Oryctolagus cuniculus: one gene and its partners. The protein of the gene in region 1 interacts with the protein of each later gene in a biochemical or structural test. Links are inferred from orthologs where the notes say so. Each region holds a gene or a part of one and is shown in the gene's direction. Other genes may lie near its edges.

Region 1 (7,271 bases):
TTAAGGAACATGTTTTAAGTCTGTGTCTAAAGTATGGGGGATGCTCCTTTTGGAGGATAACAGTTGTTTTTTTCATAGACATGAAAGTTCTTGTTTTGTGAAGCACCTTTTCTGTGGTGGGAAATTGTATATCTGTGCCCAGGAGTTTGAAAACAAGACTGTATTGAGTTTTCAATAAGCATTGCCACCCACCCTCTTCATCCCTTTCCTCTGCAGATCTCACCCTCCTGTCTCTTCTCCCTTGCCATCCTTGCTGGGGCCCTATCCCAATCAGAAATGATTTTCTAAGACTGCTAGAAGCTAGCACATGGAATTTCACCTAAAGGCTGCTCTGTTTCTTGGGGACATTTAGCTAGTGCTTTCACTTTGTCCTCTGTTTTTAAATTAGAGGTTAAAAATCCTGGCTAAGAGGATCAGAGTCTTATTTAAGACAGGTCAGTAATGAGGTTTTTGTGGAGCTCAACATGTTCTTAGCAAAGATAAAAAATTTCTTTGCCTGGAGTAAATTCCAAGGATTGTGCTTCTAGGTTAGGGTTAAGGATGAAGAAACGAAAGGTGCTTCACTTCCCCAGTTATCTCTGAGCAAGAACCAACCAAGCAAGCAACTAGTTGTGGAGTACTGCAGGTGTGGCAGAAATAAAAGAAATGCTGCAGAGGCTTTTGGAGAGGCTGCCCTCTTTAATGGGAAGATCATTGACTTCGTGACATAAGAATGAGTTAATCTCTACAGCGTTGGTTTTCTCTGTTATGGGGTACTTGAGCTCCCTGTTCTTTAAGGCCATCCACTTCCTTTGTATTTTGATAAGACTTTTGATATCTGTAGGCTAGAAAGTACCTAATGTTAGTGGTTGTGACCTGTATTTTCCCTGCTTTATCCCACCCTCAGCTCTGTGTTTTCTAAGCCAAGAAGATGGTCACACTTCTTCAGGTAACATCATAGATTCTATCTCCATCTTCACACCCTGCTGAGGAAGGCCGAAGAAGTAATTCAGACACACTAACGTATTTACATGAGCAGACCAGGCAACTGGCTTATTTTGTGCTCAGATCGTGGCTTCTCAGGGAACGCTGAAAATTATCTTTTAGTCAGAGGTCCTCACTAGACAGGACTATGAGGATTATCGTTTTCATTTAAACTGACCAGTGAGGTTAGTGACCTAGTCAACTTAATGTAAGTTCCCATTGAATGACTTATTTTATCAGTATTCAGAGTAATTAGTCATCTTAGCATCAGCAAGATGCAGCTTATATTGATCTAGATTTCAGTAGATTTGGTAACAGCAAAAATCAGAGGTCAGAGAACCCTCACTAATACTCTGCATTGATGAACGATAGAAAGGTTAGCAATGTGGTGTGTGTAGTGCTTTATGTTAAAGACTTCCAGGTGGGTATGCCCTTCAGTTTCTTCATTATTCTCCCTCTGGCTACACCCTGGAATCACATACACCTTTTTTTCTGCATGTGGCATTTAGCCAACATTATGCCTTTGTTCACTACCCTTTGAATAGTAAGTATAGCAAACAACATGGGTCATCTTGGCAGGAGATACTCAAGACCTTTTTGTTGGGTTACAGAGATTTAGGGATTGTGGAGGCAGTCTGGCAAAATGCAAAACACTACCCTGTTCAAATGTTAGAAGTCTTACTTATGTTAAGATGCTTGATATACTAAGCCAGTAACCAATTTTCCTTTATACTTTACACTTACAAAACACACATATGCATATGGAGATTCACATTTTTTAGATATTTTCCCCATCAGTATGCCTTTTCTTGTACACACCTGAATGTTTTCAAATGCTAGTCTTTTAACTGAATCAATAATCCTTTTTGTAATAATCTGACTTGTTAACTGCTACCATGAGATCCTAAGGGTAGTGGGGTATGGAAAGGTCTTCTATTTGGCTGTTCTGGAATCATTCACAAACTATCCTGGTCATAGAAATATTCCTAATCATGATGTTGTGCATAGTATATTGTCTGTTCCCATAAATACAGAGGAGGCACACATTTCTTTTAGTCTGAACTTACAGCTGTATATAGTTTTATTCAAATATTTTCTAAAAGCTGTGAAATTGTATTATGTTAATTATTCTTTATTGTGAAACATTATGACCATTCTTTATATTATATTGCCTGATTTGGGGGGGTTATATCTCCATTATTCATTTTCAAGGGACTAAAAAAAATGAGAAAGAATTTAATGACTTGCTTTAGTAGAAGTTTATATCCAAATAAGAAGTCAGGCTCCAATGGCTTGTAATTGCTGTTGCATGAAATTACTTTTATATTGTTTTCAATTGTATTCTTTTTTTTTCTTGAATTTTCTTCTTTCAGAGAAGAGTTCCAGTCACAAATGCATATGTGATGCATTTTGACATTTACTGCTAAGGTGAAATGCAGAAATGAAAACTACACATCCGTTTTAGTATTCTCAGATGTGAATAAATGTACTTTATCATGTTTTTATGCTGCTGACTTATAAAAAAATACTTTAAAAGGGTAACCGTTAAACAGCTAGGACCTGCAGCTTCAGTGCTTCTGAGATAAGCTGGAACATCACAAGCAGAGATTTTATTTCAGCACGATCACATCTCAGCTGAGCCCTCAGCCTATATTCATATGCATTTCCTCCATCAGCAGTTGTCAGCAGACGTTTCCTCCTAGGATGGCGCACAGTCTCCCCACAGAGTTTGATGTGGTTGTAATAGGGACAGGTTTGCCAGAGTCTATCCTTGCAGCTGCATGTGCAAGAAGTGGTCAGAGGGTTCTGCATCTTGATTCAAGAAGTTATTATGGAGGAAACTGGGCTAGTTTCAGCTTTTCTGGATTACTATCCTGGCTGAATGAGTATCAACAAAACAGTGACATTGGGGAAGAAAGTATTGCTACATGGCAAGACTCAATCCATGAAACAGAAGAAGCCATCCCTCTTTGCAAGAAGGATAAAAGCATCCAACATACAGAAGTTTTTTGTTACGCCAGTCAAGATATGGAGGACAGTGTTGAAGACATTGGTGCTGTGCCAAAAAATCCTTCCTCAGCGGCATCTAGTACCCTCACAGAACCTCTGAATTCTGCAGCCTTCCCCAAAGAAAGGCACTCATCAGACTTTGCTCACTATGAAATGTCTGCAAAACACACTCAAAAAAATGAAACAGAGATTTCACTTGAAGTAACTGATATAGAAGAATCACTGGAGAAAGAAAAGTATTGTGGAGACAAAACTTCTGCACACACTGTTTCAGATGGAGATGAAGATGAAAACAACCCTAAAGAAGACAATACTGACCAACAAAAGAGAAATAGGACTACTTATTCTCAAATAATTAAAGAAGAGAGGAGATTTAATATTGATTTGGTGTCAAAGCTGCTATATTCTCAAGGATCCTTAATTGATCTTTTAATCAAATCCAATGTTAGTCGTTATGCTGAATTTAAAAATGTCACCAGGATTCTTGCATATCGGGAAGGGAAGGTGGAACAGGTTCCTTGTTCTAGAGCAGATGTCTTTAATAGCAAAGAACTCACCATGGTTGAAAAGAGGATGTTAATGAAATTTCTTACCTTCTGTCTAGACTATGAGCAGCATCCTGATGAATACCAAGATTTCAAACAATGTTCATTTTCAGAGTACTTGAAAGCTAAAAAACTAACCCCCAACCTCCAACATTTTGTGCTACATTCAATTGCAATGACATCAGAAACCTCATGTACTACATTAGATGGTCTTAAAGCAACAAAAATTTTTCTTCAGTGTCTTGGACGGTTCGGCAACACTCCCTTTTTATTTCCTGTGTATGGTCAAGGTGAAATCCCCCAGTGTTTCTGCAGAATGTGTGCAGTTTTTGGTGGAATCTACTGTCTTCGTCATAAAGTACAGTGTCTTGTAGTTGACAAAGAATCTGGAAGATGTAAAGCCATTATAGATCACTTTGGTCAAAGAATAAATGCTAAGTATTTTATCATGGAGGATAGTTACCTTTCTGAGGAAACATGCTCAAATGTGCAGTATAAGCAAATCTCAAGGGCAGTGCTCATCACAGATCAGTCTCTACTAAAGACAAATTCAGATCAGCAGATTTCCATTTTGATAGTGCCTCCAGTGGAAGCACAGACTTGTTCTGTCCGGGTCACAGAATTATGTTCTTCAACTATGACATGCATGAAAGACACATATCTGGTACATCTAACGTGTCCATCTTCAAAAACGGCACGAGAAGACCTAGAACCAGTGACGCAGAAATTATTCACTCCTTATGCTGAAACAGAAATGCAAAAGGAAGGGCCTACAAAACCAAGACTCTTGTGGGCTCTTTATTTTAACATGAGAGATTCCTCAGTAGTCAGCAGAGGCTCCTATGATGGCTTACCTTCCAATGTTTATGTCTGCTCTGGGCCTGACTGTGGCCTGGGAAATGAGCATGCAGTCAAGCAAGCCGAAACACTTTTTCAGGAGATCTTTCCAGGTGAAGAATTCTGCCCTCCACCTCCAAATCCAGAAGACATTATCTATGATGGTGATGACAGGCTACTGGAGGCTTCTGGAACCAGTGATACAACAATGGCCAAACAAGAATCCTCTGAGGACAGCAAAAACTTAGAAAGTCCAGAGAAGCAGCTTCAAAATTAGAAGAAAAAAAAAGTGGAAATCCTCTTCCTCTTCATCCTGGCATCAGAATACTCTCATTTAAAGGCCATGTTTCCATATGAATAATTGGAAGTGGTTATATGGTGAATGCTCTGCAGATTTTGTCTTTGACTCTGCTTAGGGTATTCAGCCTTAGGTGTTTTTTATTAACCTGTCACTAATTGACTTGTCAGTTGTTGGAGTCTTTGTTTCAGAATCTGCTCTGTGATCAGAATCTTAAAGCAGGGATACCTTTGTTTTAATATTGTATGTATTGAGTTCCATGTTAGCAACTCAAAGATTATATTGTGTATACTATTGATCTTCAGACTGTCATTTTCTACAGGACAATAAATAGGACCTTAGGAATATTTTAGTTACTTTGGCAGCTGTTATGTTGCTATCACATCTGTTTGAACAGTGAAATACACAAATAGTAAATTATGTGGGTCTTTGTATATAATATAAAAACTCAGAGTTCATAGTAGGAATATCACTATAAGTGCCAATATGATAAAAGACATTTGTTTATATTTGTTAAAGGATTAGCTGTGCGTGATTCTTTATTCTTTGTGAAGAATTTTACATTTTGCCATTTTTTGCACCTACTTGATCCTTATAACTGATGGGGCAGTGAAGCCATCCAGCATTGCTTTCTACTTTGTGAAAATAATCTGAGTTCACTTAACTGAAGAGCTCAGAAAATTCCTGCAGAGTCCTGCTCTAGCACGTGAAAGAAAAGGACTTCCAACAAATAACTCAGGCCCAAAGGAAAAATAAATCACCTCAGGAAAAGATGGTTAGGAATGGCTGTTTGAAATTCCTGAAAAGGAAGTCCTATGGAGAAACAGGATGAGTCACTTTAAAATTTGAGATTACAGCCAGTTTTAAAAACCCTCTGTAAGTAGTTTACCTGCAGTTTTCTCAGGGTGTAACCTATTCCTTGTTGGTTCTACCACCTTAATTAGCAGCATTGACTGCAATTAATAGGAATAAGTCAGAGGAGGATTTACTGTGCTGTTTGCTTATATCCCACCCCACAAATAGGTGAACAGTCTTCATAATCACGTCTGCCTCTTGGCTGTGTTCTGGAGAACAAAAACTCTTCGCAGAACCACTAGAAGGCACAAAACTGGCTATACTCCACTGGAGCTATCAGGAGAGGTTCCTCATTTAGTCTCATGTCTGTTCTTCAGGCAGAGAATGGTGGTCCTATAGGAAGCAAGCCCTTTCTCGAACAGAGCATTCACTGTGTGCCAGGCATTTAATATCGTGCTTTCTCACTACAGCTTCTCAATAACAGTGTGAAGCAGATATTAAGCCATACACTTTAAAAAAGAGATGATGGAAACAATTATTTATAATTTTCTCAGTGCACTGTGTACAAGAGCCATCACTGGAGCCCAACAGGATTACAAAGTCCTTTTTTCTGTTGTTCATGATTACAATAGTATACATACTGTATTAGAAGGAAAAGGTGCCCATGAAAACCGGAATCTAATATTGCTGGGGGGAAAAGTGGACAGATGCCAGTCTTGCAGTTGACTATTGAATAAGAGAAATATGAAGATTAAGATTAATTATAAGTAAATATATGTTAAAGCTACGAATCTAATAAAGCAGAATTTGGCTAAGTTTTAACAGAATAATGCTCTTCAGTAACATGTCTGTTGGTCTGAAGATTGTTATATAAAACAACTATTAATTGGCCAAAATATACTCTGAATAGTCTTTTGTTGCTCTTCTAATATGAGGGAAATAAGACAGACTTAAATACTGGACAGCTTATTGTTAAGTAGAAAAGTCATTGATTGGTATCAATACTGGTTTTCTTGAATATAGTAAAGAGGTATGATTGAGTGGATCCTAAAGTTTAAACCTATCAAAACAAGTGAGATGCCTGAATTGACTTACAAAATAGTATTAAAATAAAAAGAGATTTAAGATATTAAAATGGAGGTGAAAATAATCCAGATCTACTGAAAAGTTTTTCACTATCATTGATTTTTTAGGTTTCTCACAATGTGATAATTACTTAACTAAAATTATATATATTGGGAAAAAATATATAAGAAACATTTCTCAAATAGAAATTAATGGTGGCATCATTTTTATTTATATATTATTATTATTATTATTTATATATTAAGCCTGTCACTGCAATAAAATATATAAAACAAAGATAAAGCATAAATATTATTTTCTGTTAACATGGCTTTATAGTTAGCTAAACCTATAGTATCTTATAAATATACTATCAATAAAAGACCAATTCAAGAAGTTGCAGGAGATACAGTTTTTTTAAATTAATATTGTTTCTAGATTCCAGTAGTGATGGCAATTTAAAAAGTGCTTGGGTATTAAAATATGTGAGCCTTTTAAAGAAAATTGTACTGGTATGTTGGGAAGTGTGAGCAAAGTTTGTTTAAAAAAAAAAAAAACTGGGAAAAATGGGAGCATAAGCATGTTATTAAGCAGCCTTGCTAAGTATCCTGTAGTACTGAGTAGAAAGTTTAAGACTAATAAGCCAGTTAGAAATAAATACCTAAAATTGTTGGTGAAAAGATTAGCTGAATGTCATTATGGAGAAAGCTATTAAATGATCCACTTCATGTATGATAATGAAGTTTATTCCAGATGAA
Region 2 (7,397 bases), on another chromosome or scaffold:
GTGTTCCCAGTTCCCAGTGCCAGCTGAGTATTCGGGGGGATGATCCAATGGATGAGAGTCCTCTCTCTTTCTACCTCTCAAATAAACATTAAAAAAAGAAAAAACAAGTAGAGAAAAGTGAAGATGGAAGGACAGAGTTCACAGCAATTTATAAATTCTAGTACCTCATGTGTTGTGTTGCCTTCTTATGTAAAATGTTCACAATTCTCAATATAATTAAACTCACACTTTGGTTCCGAGCATATCTACGAAAGGTCTTCTGTGAGAAACTGAAATGATGACTGATGGTCTCAGTCCTTAAAAACCTGTATAATCCTAAGCGGAATGAAAGGCTGAGGAAAATCCAGGCATTCTGTATATAAAATAAAGCAGTTTTAGCAACACCAGTATAGAGTAAAGCAAAGGACTGTGAAACTAGAGAAAAAAAGATCAAGTCCAGCAGAAATATCCTCAAAGACTGTCCAGAGGAGCTGGCATCTTGGTAGAGGTGACACCAGAAGAGAGATCAGTAATGTCATTCAAGGAAGAGAGAATAAAATGATCCAACTTGCCAAGTTGGGAACATGCAGGCAATATATACAGAGCAGAGAGACAGAGGATAAAGCAAGAGTTTGGGGAGAACAAGACAATGGAAACAGAATGAAAGAAACATGGGTTGGAACTAGCATCGAAGTTTAGACTCAATTTAGCAAATAATGAAAAACCACCAAATATTTTTGACTAGCTGAGTGACTAACTGTAAAGAGTAGATTGAAAAGGAAGGAATATGCATTCACTCTGCTTCTAAGAATGCTTCGGGGCGGCGCTGTGGCTCAGTGGGTTAATGCCTTGGCCTGAAGCGCCGGCATCCCATATGGGCGCTGGTTCTAGTCCCAGCTGCTCCTCTTCAGATCCAGCTCTCTGCTATGGCCCAAGAAGGCAGTAGACAATGGCCCAGGACCTTTGGCCCCTGAACCCACCTGGGAGACCCAGAGGAAGCTCCTGGCTCCTGATCAGCACAGTTCCCGCTGTTGCTGCCAGTTGGGGAGTGAACCACCGGATGGAAGACTCTCTCTCTCTTTCTCTGCCTCTCTTCTGTGTAACTCTGACTTTCAAATAAATAAATAAAAAATTTTTTTAACAAGAATGCTTCTATGGTCCAGGCATTTGAATTAGTTCTCAAATTTGGGGATTTGAGGATTTTTAGAAACAGAATGGCCAGTGCTTTATGGGGAAGAAAAGAAGAGCTGAAAATGATTCTGTAGTTCCAAGTCTGGGTGACAGAGGTTCTTAATGGCACTGAATAAACAATGCAAACAGGCTTGCAGTGGAATAGGTTTGGCTTGGGACATGCTATTGACATGACAAGACTAACATGACATATCCTATTTCCTGATTCTTTCTGGGATCGTCCTAGAGCTATGACCATGACTTATGCAACATCAGAACAGGCCTTTCAGGATGCAGTGCCACAGATACCATTCACAGATGCCATATTATGCTCTTCTAGTAACTGGGGAGGTGCTGAAAGACGAGCTAGTTAGTCAAGGGTTCAAATCATCTTCATTGCACAATGTTGACCGAGCACTCACAGGATACCTTAGCCCAGGTACACTCCAAAGACAATATTCATGCCTTCACAGCAGGACTGTAAGTTGTAAATTATAAACTGCAAAGCATCCCTTATTCTGGGGAAAAAGCAACGATCAAGGGGAGAGGGGTTGGTTTTAGACGCTTTCCAGAAACTAACTATGATCTGGGATTTTACCAAAGCATGCTTAAGAGGATCTGCTGCAGAGGGCAACAACCAGCTCAGGTTGTGGTCTTTCACCGGAACTTTGTATAAGAACTGACATTCTGGGGCCAGCATTGTATTGTACGCAGCACAGAGGGTCAAGGCACAGGCAGCAGGTTAAGCTGCCACTTGCAATGCTGAGTCTCCTTTTGAACAGCTAGTCTGAACCCAGGCTGCTCTGCTTCCAATCCTTATTTACTAATGCAGGGGATGATGGCCCAAGTACTTAGCCCCTGATACTCTCTTGCGAGACCAGGAAGGAGCTGAAGCCTCTTGGCAGCATAGGCCAGGCCCTGCCATTGCAGCCATTTGGGAAGTGAGTCAGTGGATGGAAGAAATATTGTTACTCTGCCTTTTGAATAAATACATCTTTAAAAAGAATTCCCAGTCTTGTACAAGTTACACAATCTCTGTGCTTCGAGCGCGTTACCTGTAAAGCAGGCACGCCTCATTCATTAATCCCAAAGCCATGCCTGAAGATTCTTAGCTGCCTGGCCACGTGCTAGCCAGGTTCACAGAGGTGAGGACCAGTTTGGGAAGTTAGTGTTAATGTGCCCACACGACGATTCACAAGCTGGTTTCACAAAGACTTGTACCTACTGTAAAACGTTTAGTACTGTAACTCCCAAAGGGAAATCTGAACAACAGGTTTGCTTAACATGTACCCTACCAAAAACAGGTAAGCGCTTCTTACGTGCCAACTGTTTTAATGCTTTGCCACTAAAGACGGCTTTAGGATGCAGAGGGTCCTAGCTTCCTGCCGGCGGTACAAACGACTTACCTTCCTTTACAGACACACCTGGCCTCAGGGACACAGTAGGCGTGTCTCCTGTTACAACCTCCCTCAAAAAAACCCCTTAGGCCAAGTCACCAGGATTGGGGTGGTGCGGGGCGGGATGGAGGGGACTGTGAGCTCACACTTACAACAAAGGGCTGGGCGCAACAAACTCAAGCGCCTTAGGTCTTCCCCCAAAGCAGGGCAGCACGGGATACCCCACCCAGCCCCAGTCACAGGAGCCCAGAGGCCTCCGCCCTGCTGACAAAAGAGCTGCGAGGGCGCGGTCGCGCGCAACCGGCGTGGCGCAGACACAACAAGGCAGTAAAACCCGCCCCAGCGCAGAGCCACGTGACAGCCCGCCGCGCCCCGCCCCCTCCCCGGTAGGGCTGGGTGCGCCTCGAGAGGGGCGGGGAAGCGGATGGGGCGGGACGGACTGGCGCCGACCGGAAGTGACGAAGCGGCGTCTCTCGCTGCGCGCAGCGACGTGGCGGCGGGGCCGGCGCCCGGCTGCGGAAGTGGCTCCCGCGTTGGGACTTGAGTGTTTGTGTTTTGGTTCTTGAAGGAGCCGGCGGCCGGCCTGAGGGGAGGAGGCGGAGGAGGGAGGAGGAGGAGGAGGAAGAATTCGTCGGAACTTGAGCGCCGGCGGCGGAGGAGGAGAAAGGAAAGAGAAAGGCGGAGCGCGGAGAGGCGGAGACGGAGCCCGGCAGGGGCGGCACCACGGCTCCAGCCCCGCACGGTCCGGTGTGAGGCGAGCGACGCGAGGAGACGCCGCCGTCGCCGCCACAGCCTCCGCTTCGCTGCCGTCCTTCGGGCCACGCTTGCTCCCTGCCGCCAGCAAGCTGCGGTGCCGCGGCCCCGCGTGCCGCAGCCGCAGGTAACCAGACCAGCCTTCCCCTGTGCAGAGCGGGTCTGGAGCTGGGCTGAGCCGCGGTCTCCATCCTGCCCGCGGCTGTGCGGGCGGCGGGGCCCCCAGCACGTCCTCCCCGACTTGCGCCCGTCTCCGGGACCACAGAGCTACCGCACCCGGGCCTGTCGGCCTGCCAGCCCTGGTGACTCATGCCGCCAGGGGTTCTGGTGGAGACCGCGATTTGGGGACTGGGTGAGGGAGCCGACGGGTGTCACCCTCTTCCCTTCTCAAGATGGCGCCGCGGAAAGAGTACCGGAGGCCGTGGTTCCGCCCGGCCTCTCCAGACAGCCCGGGGGTCCCAGGGAGAGCCGTGCAGGTTTAAGGGAGGAGGGTGGCGGGACGGCCCAGAGCCCTGGCGGGTACTGTTTGTTCGGGCGATCCGGAGTCGGCTCTCAGCTGCTCAGGTGTTGCAAGCAGGGACCGGGGCCTAGGGCAGGTGTGGATCTGGGGAGCTCCGCCTACCTTCGAAAGATGGGTAATGGAAGGGCTGGGAGGCTCAGCCAGACAACCGCTCTGGAGACTGGCAGGTGGCGAGCCGCAGCTTTAAGGAAATTAAAGGTAACTGGGCCGCCGTACAGCTCCCTTGGTGGGTAAACCAGGAGACCTGCCCTGATGCTGTCTTCCCTGGGAACTGGTCAGCCCCTCGAGACTTTCAGACTTTTTAAGCTCCTAGCATCCTAGTTTACGTATTTGATTTTTTTTGGCCTGGCTTAAGTGGAATCAAACTGTTACACTACTCCGGGAATATTCTGGACTCCTCAGAAACTTTGTTCTTTTCACTGTCGAATGCAGATAGTTTGAACACTTAGGGTTGTTGTAAGCAAAGTACTTGGTAACCATGCCAGGCACAGAATGAGTACCCAGTGATTTTTTGATCAAAGAGGACCTAAAAAGAGCAAAAGAGCACTACAGAACACTAGTTATTTCCAAGTTTAAAAATGCATACAATGCAAAGTCCTTGTTTGGCAAAACTGGGAGAATTCTCAGTAAGTGTGAATACGAGTAAATGCACGCAGTTTTTACCTTGTTAATATTACGCTGTTTTTGATTTATTTCCTGTTAGAGATCCTTGTAGCATAAGGATTCAGTGGCTTCAAAACTTAGAAGGCAAACGTAAATCACAATTTTGCTTGACTTTTTTATGGGTGTCTGGTGTTTTCCCTAAATTTTCAGAAGTACTGTAGAAATTCAGAACATGGTATCCTTGATAAATGATCAGCAGTTTTGTAGATAAGAGGCTGTTGGGAAGTGTTTCAACTATGTTTATTCCTGAAAGCGAATTGGTGCGTTTTCTGCCTATACGACATTCTATTGGTGTTTGACATGTAACCAAAGGGCCACTTTAGTTGTCCATTCAAACCCTGCTGTATGATAGGTACTGTATTAGAGATTATATATATTGTATCACGTGATTAACTGGCAACTATGCAAATTATGTAGTTTGAAAATTAAAAAATTGGCCCAGACAGAAATTGGTACTACCAGGATTAAACTCCCAAGTTTACTGTGTTTGGGACAGTATGGGGAAGTAGTTTTATTTGTACCTTATGGTGTGTGTTCGTTTGTTTTTAAGATTTATTTATTTGAAAGAGTTACACAGAGAGAGGAGAGGAGAGATCGAGAGAGGTCTTCCATCCGCTCGTCCACTCCCCAGATGGCTGCAACAGCCTAAGCTGCGCTGACTCAAAGCCAGGAGCCGGGAGCTTCTTCCTGGTCTCCCATGAGGGTTCAGGGGCCCAAGGACTTGGGCCATCTTCTGCTGGTTTCCCAGTTCATAGCAGAGAGCAGAATCAGAAGTGGAGCAGCCTGGACTCGAACCAGCACCTGTATGAGATGCCAGCACTGCAGGCGGCAGCTTTATCCTCTATGTCACAGTGCCAGCCCCTGTACCTTATGTTTGGAAGCAGCTTAAACATCATTTCATCTGTAAATATATCAGCATGTACTGTTAAAGACGCTTCAAAGCTGGAGTTTTAGATAAAGCCAAGAAGTGAACTTAATTGTCTAGAATTAAGATATCAATATATTAGTGAATTGTCAATAATATGTCTCATAAAAACTAAAATTTTATAGGGAAGGCGAATTTCTTATATGAGGTAACTCAGTGAAGTATAGCTACATTTTTAGAGAGGAAATCATATTTAGTATATTAGTAAGCATATAATCATATTTTTATTAAAGATGTGAATAGGTTGAAAAGTGCTCTTCAAATATTTGCTAATTCCTTTGAAATTGAAAATTAGCACATTTGGGAGCCTTGGTTGTGGTTGTGATGTAGCAGGTAAGCTGCCACCTTCAGTGCCAGCATCCCATATGGGTGCCTGTTCAATTCCTGGTTGCTGCACTTCCCATCCAGCTCCCTGCTGGGAAAGCTGGGAGGATGGCTCAAGTGCTTGGGCCCCTGTACCCACGTGGGAGACCTGGAAGAAGCTTTTCTGGCTCCTGGCTTCAGTTGTGGCCATTTGGGGGAGTGAACCAGCAGATGGAAGACCTGTCTCTGTCTCTCCCTCTCTCTAACTGAGCCTTTCAAATAAATCTTAAAAAAAGAAAGAAAAAAAATGAGCACTTTTAGATACTGGTAAGAAAAGAATTTGCCTTCAGGCTAGTTTTCTCCAAATGTGTTGTTTAATAGAAAATAATGGCATATATTGTAATTCCAAAAACTACAAAAAAAAGGTAGTATTAGTAAATAAGTCACTAATAGTTGCACCACATTAGAGAATAGCCATTAGCATTTCTGTGAATGGTATGTGAGGATAGTTTTACATCTTTCAGCCTCTGCACATACAGCACTGGGCTCCTTAAAATGTTTGCCCTAAAATTACCATGAATGAAAAGCATGCAATAACAGATTTTCAAATAACTATAAATTGTGGGAATCTAAGAGCTTTCTGTTTATTAATTTCCCACAATTTTTTTTTAAGATTTATTTATTTATTTGAAAGAGTTATATAGAGAGAAGGAGAGGCAGAGAGAGAGAGAGAGAGGTCTTCCATCCACTGGTTCGCTCCCCAATTAGTGGCAATGGCCAGAGCTGCACCAATCCGGAGCCAGGAGTCAGAAGCTTCTTCCGGGTCTGCTACGGAAGTGCAGGGGCCAAAGGACTTGGGCCATCTTCCACTGCTTTCCCAAGCCAGAACAAAGAGCTGGATCAGAAATGGAGCAGGCTGGGACTCAAACCGGTACCCATATGGGATGCTGTCACTACAGGCAGCAGTTTCACTTGCTATGTCACAGCACCAGCCCCCCCCCAAAAAAAACAATTTTAACCCAAGTATTTAATCCTGAATTCTAGAATCACCTCTCAGGTTGCCTTGCTTTGAGACTCATCTGTGTCTCAAATCTGTCACAGTAAGTATGTGACCTCAATCATGTTACTTCTCTATGCCTCTGTTTCCTCCTTTATAAAGATTGTAATAGTAACTAACTAAAAGGTTGTAGAGTGGCTGTGCTGAAGTACTAAAACACTACCTGGCACAAAGTTGAGGCTGTGATAAAGGTTAGTTTAAAAAAAAAAAAAAACCTGAAGATTACAGACTGATTTTAGGCTCACATTACAACTTTAAATTGTTACTTTTAAAAAAGATAGTGAGAGGTGAATATTGTAGCCCATTGGTTAAGATACCTCTTGGGACGCTACCATCTCATATCAGAAGGACTGAGTCTCTGGTCTGTTGCTGATCTAGCTTCATGAAAATGCACACCACGGGAGACAGCAAGTGATGCATAAGTACTTGGGTTCATGCCACCCATGTGAGAGACCCGGATGAAGTTCCAGGCTTTCCATTTTGGCCTGGTTTAGCCCTGACTATTAATAGCCAGCATTTGAGGGTGTGAACCAGTGAATGGCATTAATAGTCGTTATTAGATTTACTTTGGCTTACTGATTTGTATATTAATTACTGCGTATTTGTTTCTTTACAGGTTTCTTTATCTCC
Region 3 (7,344 bases), on another chromosome or scaffold:
TCAACTCAAATAACACCCAATTGTTTGAGTTGGAATTATTATTTGCCTCTGTATGTCCACCTCTCATTTTTAAAATGTCAGGTTTGGGGGCGGCACTGTGGCGCAGTAGGTTAATCCTCCACCTGCAGCGCCAGCATCCCATATGCACGCTGGTTCTAGTCCCAGCTGCTCCTCTTCCAATCCAGCTCTCTGCTGTGGCCTGGGAAAGCAGTAGAAGATGGCCCAAGTGCTTGGTACCTGCACCTGCATGGGAGACCAGGAAGAAGCACCTGGCTCCTGCCTTTGGATTGGCGTAGTTCTGGCTGTTGTGGCCATTTGGGGAGTGAACCAACGGAAGGAAGACCTTTCTCTCTGTCGTTTCACTGTAACTCTACCTCTCAAATAAATACATAAAAATCTTTAAAAATAAAAAATGTCAGGTTTATAGTTGAAGTATAATTCATATACATAAATTTACCCTTTTGGATATATGGTTCTGAGTATTTTTTAAAAAGATTATTTAGGCCGGCGCCGCGGCTAATCCTCCACCTAGCGGCGCCGGCACACCAGGTTCTAGTCCCGGTCAGGGTGCTGGATTCTTTCCTGGTTGCCCCTCTTCCAGGCCAACTCTCTGCTGTGGCCCAGGAAGGCAGTGGAGGATGGCCCAAGTGCTTGGGCCTTGCACCCCATGGGAGACCAGGAAGAAGCACCTGGCTCCTGCCTTCAGATCAGCGCGGTGCGCCAGCCACAGCGCACCACCGTGGCGGCCATTGGAGGGTGAACCAACGGCAAAGGAAGACCTTTCTCTCTGTCTCTCTCACTCACTATCCACTCTGCCTGTCAAAAAAAAAAAAAGTACAGGCTCCTATATGCCTAAATATGAAGTATATTAAAATTTGAGTCAGTAAATTTTTAAAAAAGATTTATCCATTTATTTGAAAGGCAGAGTTACACAGAGAGAGAAGGAGAGGCACAGAGAGAGAGAGAGAGGTCTCCCATCCAATGGTTCAATCTCCAGTTGGCTGCAATGGCCAGAGCTGCCCCAATCCAAAACCAGAAGCCAGGAGCCTTCTCTGGGTCTCCCACATGGGTGCAGGGGCCCAAGGACTTGGGCCATCTTCTACTGCTTTCTCAGGCCACAGCAGAGAGCTGGATTGGAAGTGAGGCAGCTGGGTCTCAAACCAGCATCCATATGGGATGTCAGCACCACAGGCGGTGTTTACCAGCTATGCCACAGCGAAGGCCAGTAAAATTTTTTTTAAAAGAATTATTTTTTATTTCTTTGAAAGACAGAGTTACAGAGAAAGGTAGAGCCAGAGCCAGAGCCAGAGAGAGAGAGAGAGAGAGAGAGAGAGAGAGATCTTCCATTCTGCTGGTTCACTCCCTAAATGACCACAACGTCCAGAGCTGAGCTGATCCTGGCCAGGAGCCAGGAGCTTCCTCAAGGTCTCCCACATGGGTGCAGGGGCCCAAGGATGTGGGCCACCTTCTACTGCTTTCCCAGGCCATAGCAGAGAGCTGGATCGGAAGAGGAGCAGCCAGACTCAACCAGCGCCCATATGGGACGCTGGCGCTGTAGGTTGGGGCTTTAACCCACTGCGCCACAGTGCTGGCACTGTAAAATTTTTTCAAAGCATGATATTGCAGGCAGCTGGAATGGGAAGCGGAGCTGGGACTTGTACCAGGTACTTCAATGTGAGACATGTGCAACTCAAACATTGTACCAAATGCCTGTTCCAGAAAGTTATTAACGTTTACCAGGTACTCCAAAGTCATTGTACCACATGCTTTACATTTTTTAATTTAATTCACATAGTATCCTCTCACTTGGGTTAAAACTTAGGAGGTAATTCTTTGTTGGATTAGGAAATAGTTACAGAAAGTGGGGAAATAGTGTATCTCTGGAATAGATGAAAGGTTGAATTTTTAGCTCAGTATGAGTGCTTGTGCACATTTGTGTTTTTACTCAGTGAAATCACAGTAAGCAGGAAGGGTCTAGGATTTTAGAGTCCAGGGTAAGAAACATTCTTTAATCCATTCAGGGTCCTTTTCCTGGAGTGGTGACCATGTTCAATTCAGAAATCAACATCATATACAGGAACTCTAGCTGACTGTTTGATGAGGCTATCAACTAAGGTGCATGGTGGGATTTGGGGGTTAGGAGTGTAGTTGGTACATGGGTAGAAGTGAAGAATTACTTTCTTCCCATATTTTGGTGCCATAGGAGTTTTAAGTGATTTTGCAATCACTTAAAGTCTCAGGAGATAATTTTCTTGGTTCTTAGAACCAGTTGGAAGATAAACTTTGGACAATGTGTTATACTATGCCCTTTGTAATTAAATAACCCAAGCAAGATAATGTGTTAAAGTTTAGTGGAGATTTAAATTCCTGAGCTGATTAAAGAGAGCTGGTAAGCCCATAAGGTTGTTTTTTTTTTTTTTTTTTATGTGTTAGTATTACTCCTGGAGTCTGTGGGCACTATATAGTGATGAATTGTACGTTTTTATCGCTTATTACTTTCCAATCTTGCTCAGAATTAAGTGGCAACTTTTAAAGAGGCAGAACAATTCAGCCTGAAGGCTGGGCCGAGAGCAGGTAGACTCAACTCTTAGGCCATGCCTGGGCTGTGTCCCACCCCTGGCTGTGGAGCCCTTGAAGGTTGTGGGGTCACGGTGGAAGCGCTGTGTGCGAATGGGCTGGGGCATAGTCCACTTGCAGGCAACTGAAATGTCCAGGCTGAGGTGACATGACAAGAGTGGGGCTGGGCCAGGACTGTAAAAATCAAAAAGAAAACGGTAGTGACCGAACCCGGGTGGGGTCGGGTGAGTGAAGAGGGCTGCGCGCAGTCCAGGGCGCCGGAAGTCCTCGGCAGAGGCCCCCGACTTTCCCGCCGCCCTCTGAGCCTACGTCCTCGGACCAGCGGCGAAGGGCAGGCCTCAAGCCCGTCGGGCCTGCGAGAACCGCGCGGGGCTCAGGGGCCGCCAGGCGCGCGCCCCTTCCCCCACGCTCGGGCCGTCCCACCAGGCCAGACCCCTCCCGCCCCGCGGTCCCACCGTGACCCCCATCCTCCGCCCCGGCCGGTACCGCCCTCTGCCTCTTCCCACCCCCTCCCCCGTGGGGCGCTGACTCGCCCGGCTGCCACGTCTCACTGGTGACATCACCGGGGCCTCTCGGCCTTAGCCAATCCGCTAGGGGGAGTCCGAGCGAAGTCCTAGCCAGCGAGTCAACGGGGAGGGGAGCAGGGAGGGGCGGAGGGTGGGGGGTGAGGGAGTGGGGAATGGAGCGGGCGACAACCGCACAAGTACGCATGCACCAGAGTCGCGGGGCTTGGCGGGAAGCGGAGTCCCGGCCGCCTTGCCGCACCGTCGGTCTTCTGCGCGTGTAGCTGCGCTCGCGACTCTCCTTCCCGGCATGCCACGCGCCGAGGCCGCCCTCCGGGCCGTGTAAAGACCCCTTGGTCCGAGGCTTCCCTATTTCCTGGTTCGCCGGCGGCCATTTTGGGTGGAAGCGATAGCTGAGTGGCGGCGGCTGCTGATTGTGTTCTAAGGGGACGGAGCGGGGGAAGACGTTTGCTCTCCCGGAACAGCCCATCTCATTCCTTTCCTTCGATTACCCGTGGCGCGGAGAGTCAGGGCGGCGGCTGCGGCAGCAAGGGCGGCGGTGGCGGCGGCGGCAGCTGCAGTGACATGTCCAGCATGAATCCCGAATAGTGAGTGCAGGAGAACACCGGTCGGCTGGGTCGGTGGGCCAGCTTGGGAAGCTTAAGCGGGGCGAGGAGGGCTGGGGCAGGGGCGCGGGCATTGGCCCGAGGGAGGCAAGGGTGACGGGGCCTTAGAGGCTTGAGGCCGGGAGTCGGGCCCCATTGTCTGACGGCGGAGGGGCGGCCGGGGGGAGGGGTCGGCCGGAGAGGTGAGCGGCCCGGGCCTCGGCCGGGTCCGCCTCAGGGCCTGAGTGCCGGGCCGCTGCGGAGGGCCTTGGGGCGTTGGGCAGTCCGGTGGCGGAGCGGCCTGAAGGGTCAGCTTCCTCCGGGGGCAGTAACTTTGGAAGGGGCATTTGTTTTTAAGGGGAGGAGAAGGGTGGGAGAGCTCCCCCAGAGGGCACTGTCAGACCCCGCGCCCGCGCTCTGCGGAGCTGTCAGGATCGCCGGGTTGGAAACCAGCTTTACTTGTAAAGCCTGAGCTTGCTGGTTCCCTGTCGTGCCACCCTCCCCGCCAGGTTGCAGGTAATATGGATGCTTCTCGGGACTGCGTGGGATTGAGGGCAAGGAGCGGAGAGATGGTGAGCAGCGATTTAAAATGCTTAGTTCTCGTTTGGAGTTATCTCCTGGAGGAGTTCTTTAAGAACTTGCCTGGTCCATCGCCCTCCCAAAGCCCTGGACATTTGGGAGAATTTGTTGTTAGAGGACACCTAAGTCATTTTGTCTTCTATAGGTCAAGGGAGGGAGAAAAAAAAAAAACAGAACTAAAACCAAGGGTACTACCGAATTGGACAAGGACTACTGTCAAGTTGAAAGAGAAACGAGTGGGACCTATGGTAGATCGTGTAGGTTTTGGATTACCTACTTGAATGCTTGTAGATAGGGAATGAGCTTCCATGACGTGTCATGAAAAGTTAATGCATTTCTTTTCCTTGCTTACTCAAGAGGTCACCACAACAGATGTGACACACCTGGCACTTTTCCTGGGAACTAGTGTTCACTTGCCTTGGGGAAGAGTTTAGTTGAGTTCTTTATGGCCCTTAAGAAAAAACACTTCCTACAGTTTACATATATGTAAATTAATGAAAAGTTGATAATTTAATTGGTATTCTTCAGCGCCGGAAACCTTTTCAGGAGGATTTCTAAAAGCAAAAATTAGTATTTGTCCCAAAAGTTTTTTTATTTTTTGCTTTGGTCAGTTACTGGTAGACATATCCCCCTGAAAAGTCAACTCTTCAGTTTAGCTGACTGTCATGTGTGTGTCACATGACTGTTGCAAAACGCATTCTGACTTCAAATTTTGTAATATTGTGGTTTGATGCTGAAATATCTTTTCGTACTAAACAGTAGCTATACGATTTTACTAGAATTTCTTACTTGAAAAATTTGCTATGTTGGCAATTTTTTCTTTATCAAGGGCTCCGAGGACAAAGTTGGTGTTACGTGGTTAGCCCGAGTTGATGTAAGGTTCCTAATTAGTGTTTATCCTGGAAGCAGTAAAGAACATGAATTTTTGGATTTGCCACTATATGGAGATTTTTTAAACCTCTGCTGTTCAGGGAGGTTCCTATATTTGCTACATATGTTTAGTACTATAAATAGACCTTGAAAATTAATTAGTTGAATGAGATTTTGAGAAATTACTCAGCTTCAGAATTTGTTTCTCCTTTTGTAAAATAGGATAAATAGGAGTCATCCTTACCAATGTAGTGGTGAGATTCAGATACTTCCAGACGAATTTGGAAAATGGTAAGAACATTCTTTTGGAGGTAGAAATCATTTTCCTGTAAGGCATTCTGATAGTGCTAGGGTTTAACAGTGCTATGGTTTTATAAGTTCCCCAAGGAACTTATAAATGGAATATAGAATGTAGATTTTTTTTTTTAGAATGTAGATTTTATGCATATCAAATGTCAGTAGATATAGCAAGTTCCAAATATGCAGTATAGATTGGAGCAACAGGATTTCAGAGGAATGTAGTGACTTTGGCTTGCCCATTGGGTTTTGGAAGACTCTGGAAAAGAAACCTGTAAGGATGTTATTAGCAGTGAGATTTGGAAGAGCAGAAAGGATCGAGGAGGATTTTTCCAGGGGCAAAAAGGAAGGATGGCCAATAAATGGCAAGGACTATAGAATTTAAGTAAGTGTAGTGCCAGATCATCCTTTCTTTTAAGAACTTTAGATTAATGATCTCAACAGAGTCAAACTTAGAAAATCTTTTTATATTTTTTTCTGGCATCTTGTTTGCCAATATCTAGCCTACTGTATTTGCATTCTGGACTGTCTATTAAAATAGTCCAGTAGTTTGGGAAAACCTTTGCAAAAGTGTTAATGAAAATATCTTAGGGTGATAGTAAAAGATGGCTATTTTAGGGAAGATCGGGGGCAACCAATAATCAGATTTTTTTTTTACCAATCTGACTTCATTGATCTCTTTTTGTCTTTAACGAAGTTTAACATTGTAAGAGTAATTGGAAAACAAAAAAAGAAAGCATTCCTTATTATTGAATACATTTTCTTTAACACCTTGTTCTAAACTTTAAAATCTTATGCTTTCTCTTAATTAACACTTTTAATGGATGAATGTCTTCCCTTATTCCAGGATTACAGAATGGTTCATTAGTTAATGTATCCTCCCAGATATTTCTTAGCTTGCTATGGATTGTTGTCTAATTTATCTTGTTCCTTTTAAAAACCTAAAAATCTGCTGTAGGATGTTGCTGAATTTGGAAGATGTTTATTGGCTGACATAAGATTACCTGTTGGTAGCTATATTTCTGAATGTTCTTTACAATATTTAAGTTTTTATTTTAGGGGTGAGGGGGAAAAATACATCAGTAGTTGAATTTTAAGCCATCCTTTTGACTGCTTTCCTTTATCAAGCCAGTTTGGGAGAAATGACCTACCCACGGTTAACATTAAGGTAGAAAGTTTGGATGATTTTCCTATCAACTACAAACGAAAGCAAGCAATTGGAAGTGCAGTCTGAAGTATGGAAAAAGTAGAACTTTGTTTTTTATGGAAATCTGAAGTTTTTTTTTTTTTTTTTTTTTTTTTTAGTGATGTGGTGAAGCAGGCAGTGCTTATTTCAGCATGCTGGTTAAGAAATGCTTAACATTATTCTCATACCAGAAGCATTTTTCATAATCCCTTGGCTTCTAGTGCTTTTTTTTAGTGTTAAAAAAATAATTTTGGCTCTCTCATCTTTAAGTAATGTTTTAAGAACAATGCGTGTGTATTTATCTTGAGTATGCCAGTAAACCAAGAAGAAGAAATACAGCAGTCTATTTGGATCAGCTGTAGTCCTGTAATGCGAAACACTTAAAATAATTAAGTTGTTTTTAGCACACACCTCCTCCCCCTTTTAAAAATATGATTCTAGGATTTCAAATTTTTTTCAGTCTAAAAACTTCTTTCTTTTTTGGCATGGTTTGACTTTTTAAATTGACCAGTGCTCTGTTTCATGTAAATCCTTTTTTAAAAACTTAAGTGTTTGGTGTCTGGCATTGTGGTGCAGTGGGTAAAGCCACTGGCTGCCACCATGGCATCCCATGCAGGCGCTGGTTCAAGTCCCTGCTGTTCCATTTCCTATCCAGTTCTCTGCTAGTGTGCCTGGGAAAGCAGCGGAAGATGGCCCAAGTCCTTGGGCCCCTGCCACCCATGTAGAA

The links.
Region 2: the proteins of rab proteins geranylgeranyltransferase component A 2 (region 1) and RAB5A form a complex in vitro, tested with the Homo sapiens proteins (2 studies listed by BioGRID). The link is inferred for Oryctolagus cuniculus from reciprocal best matches to the Homo sapiens genes CHML and RAB5A.
Region 3: the proteins of rab proteins geranylgeranyltransferase component A 2 (region 1) and RAB1A form a complex in vitro, tested with the Homo sapiens proteins (2 studies listed by BioGRID). The link is inferred for Oryctolagus cuniculus from reciprocal best matches to the Homo sapiens genes CHML and RAB1A.

Annotation. Positions count from the first base shown.
Region 1 is NC_091444.1:55,940,723-55,947,993, forward strand, and holds the start of rab proteins geranylgeranyltransferase component A 2, read left to right. Parts: upstream 1-2,667; coding exon 2,668-4,632; 3' UTR 4,633-7,271. UniProt on the Homo sapiens protein: Substrate-binding subunit (component A) of the Rab geranylgeranyltransferase (GGTase) complex. Binds unprenylated Rab proteins and presents the substrate peptide to the catalytic component B.
Region 2 is NC_091435.1:155,565,051-155,572,447, forward strand, and holds the start of RAB5A (ras-related protein Rab-5A), read left to right. Parts: upstream 1-2,917; 5' UTR 2,918-2,932; intron 2,933-2,979; exon of another isoform or gene 2,980-3,114; 5' UTR 3,115-3,426; intron 3,427-7,383; 5' UTR 7,384-7,397. UniProt on the Homo sapiens protein: The small GTPases Rab are key regulators of intracellular membrane trafficking, from the formation of transport vesicles to their fusion with membranes.
Region 3 is NC_091433.1:137,615,538-137,622,881, forward strand, and holds the start of RAB1A (ras-related protein Rab-1A), read left to right. Parts: upstream 1-3,239; 5' UTR 3,240-3,665; coding exon 3,666-3,688; intron 3,689-5,378; exon of another isoform or gene 5,379-5,502; intron 5,503-7,344. UniProt on the Homo sapiens protein: The small GTPases Rab are key regulators of intracellular membrane trafficking, from the formation of transport vesicles to their fusion with membranes.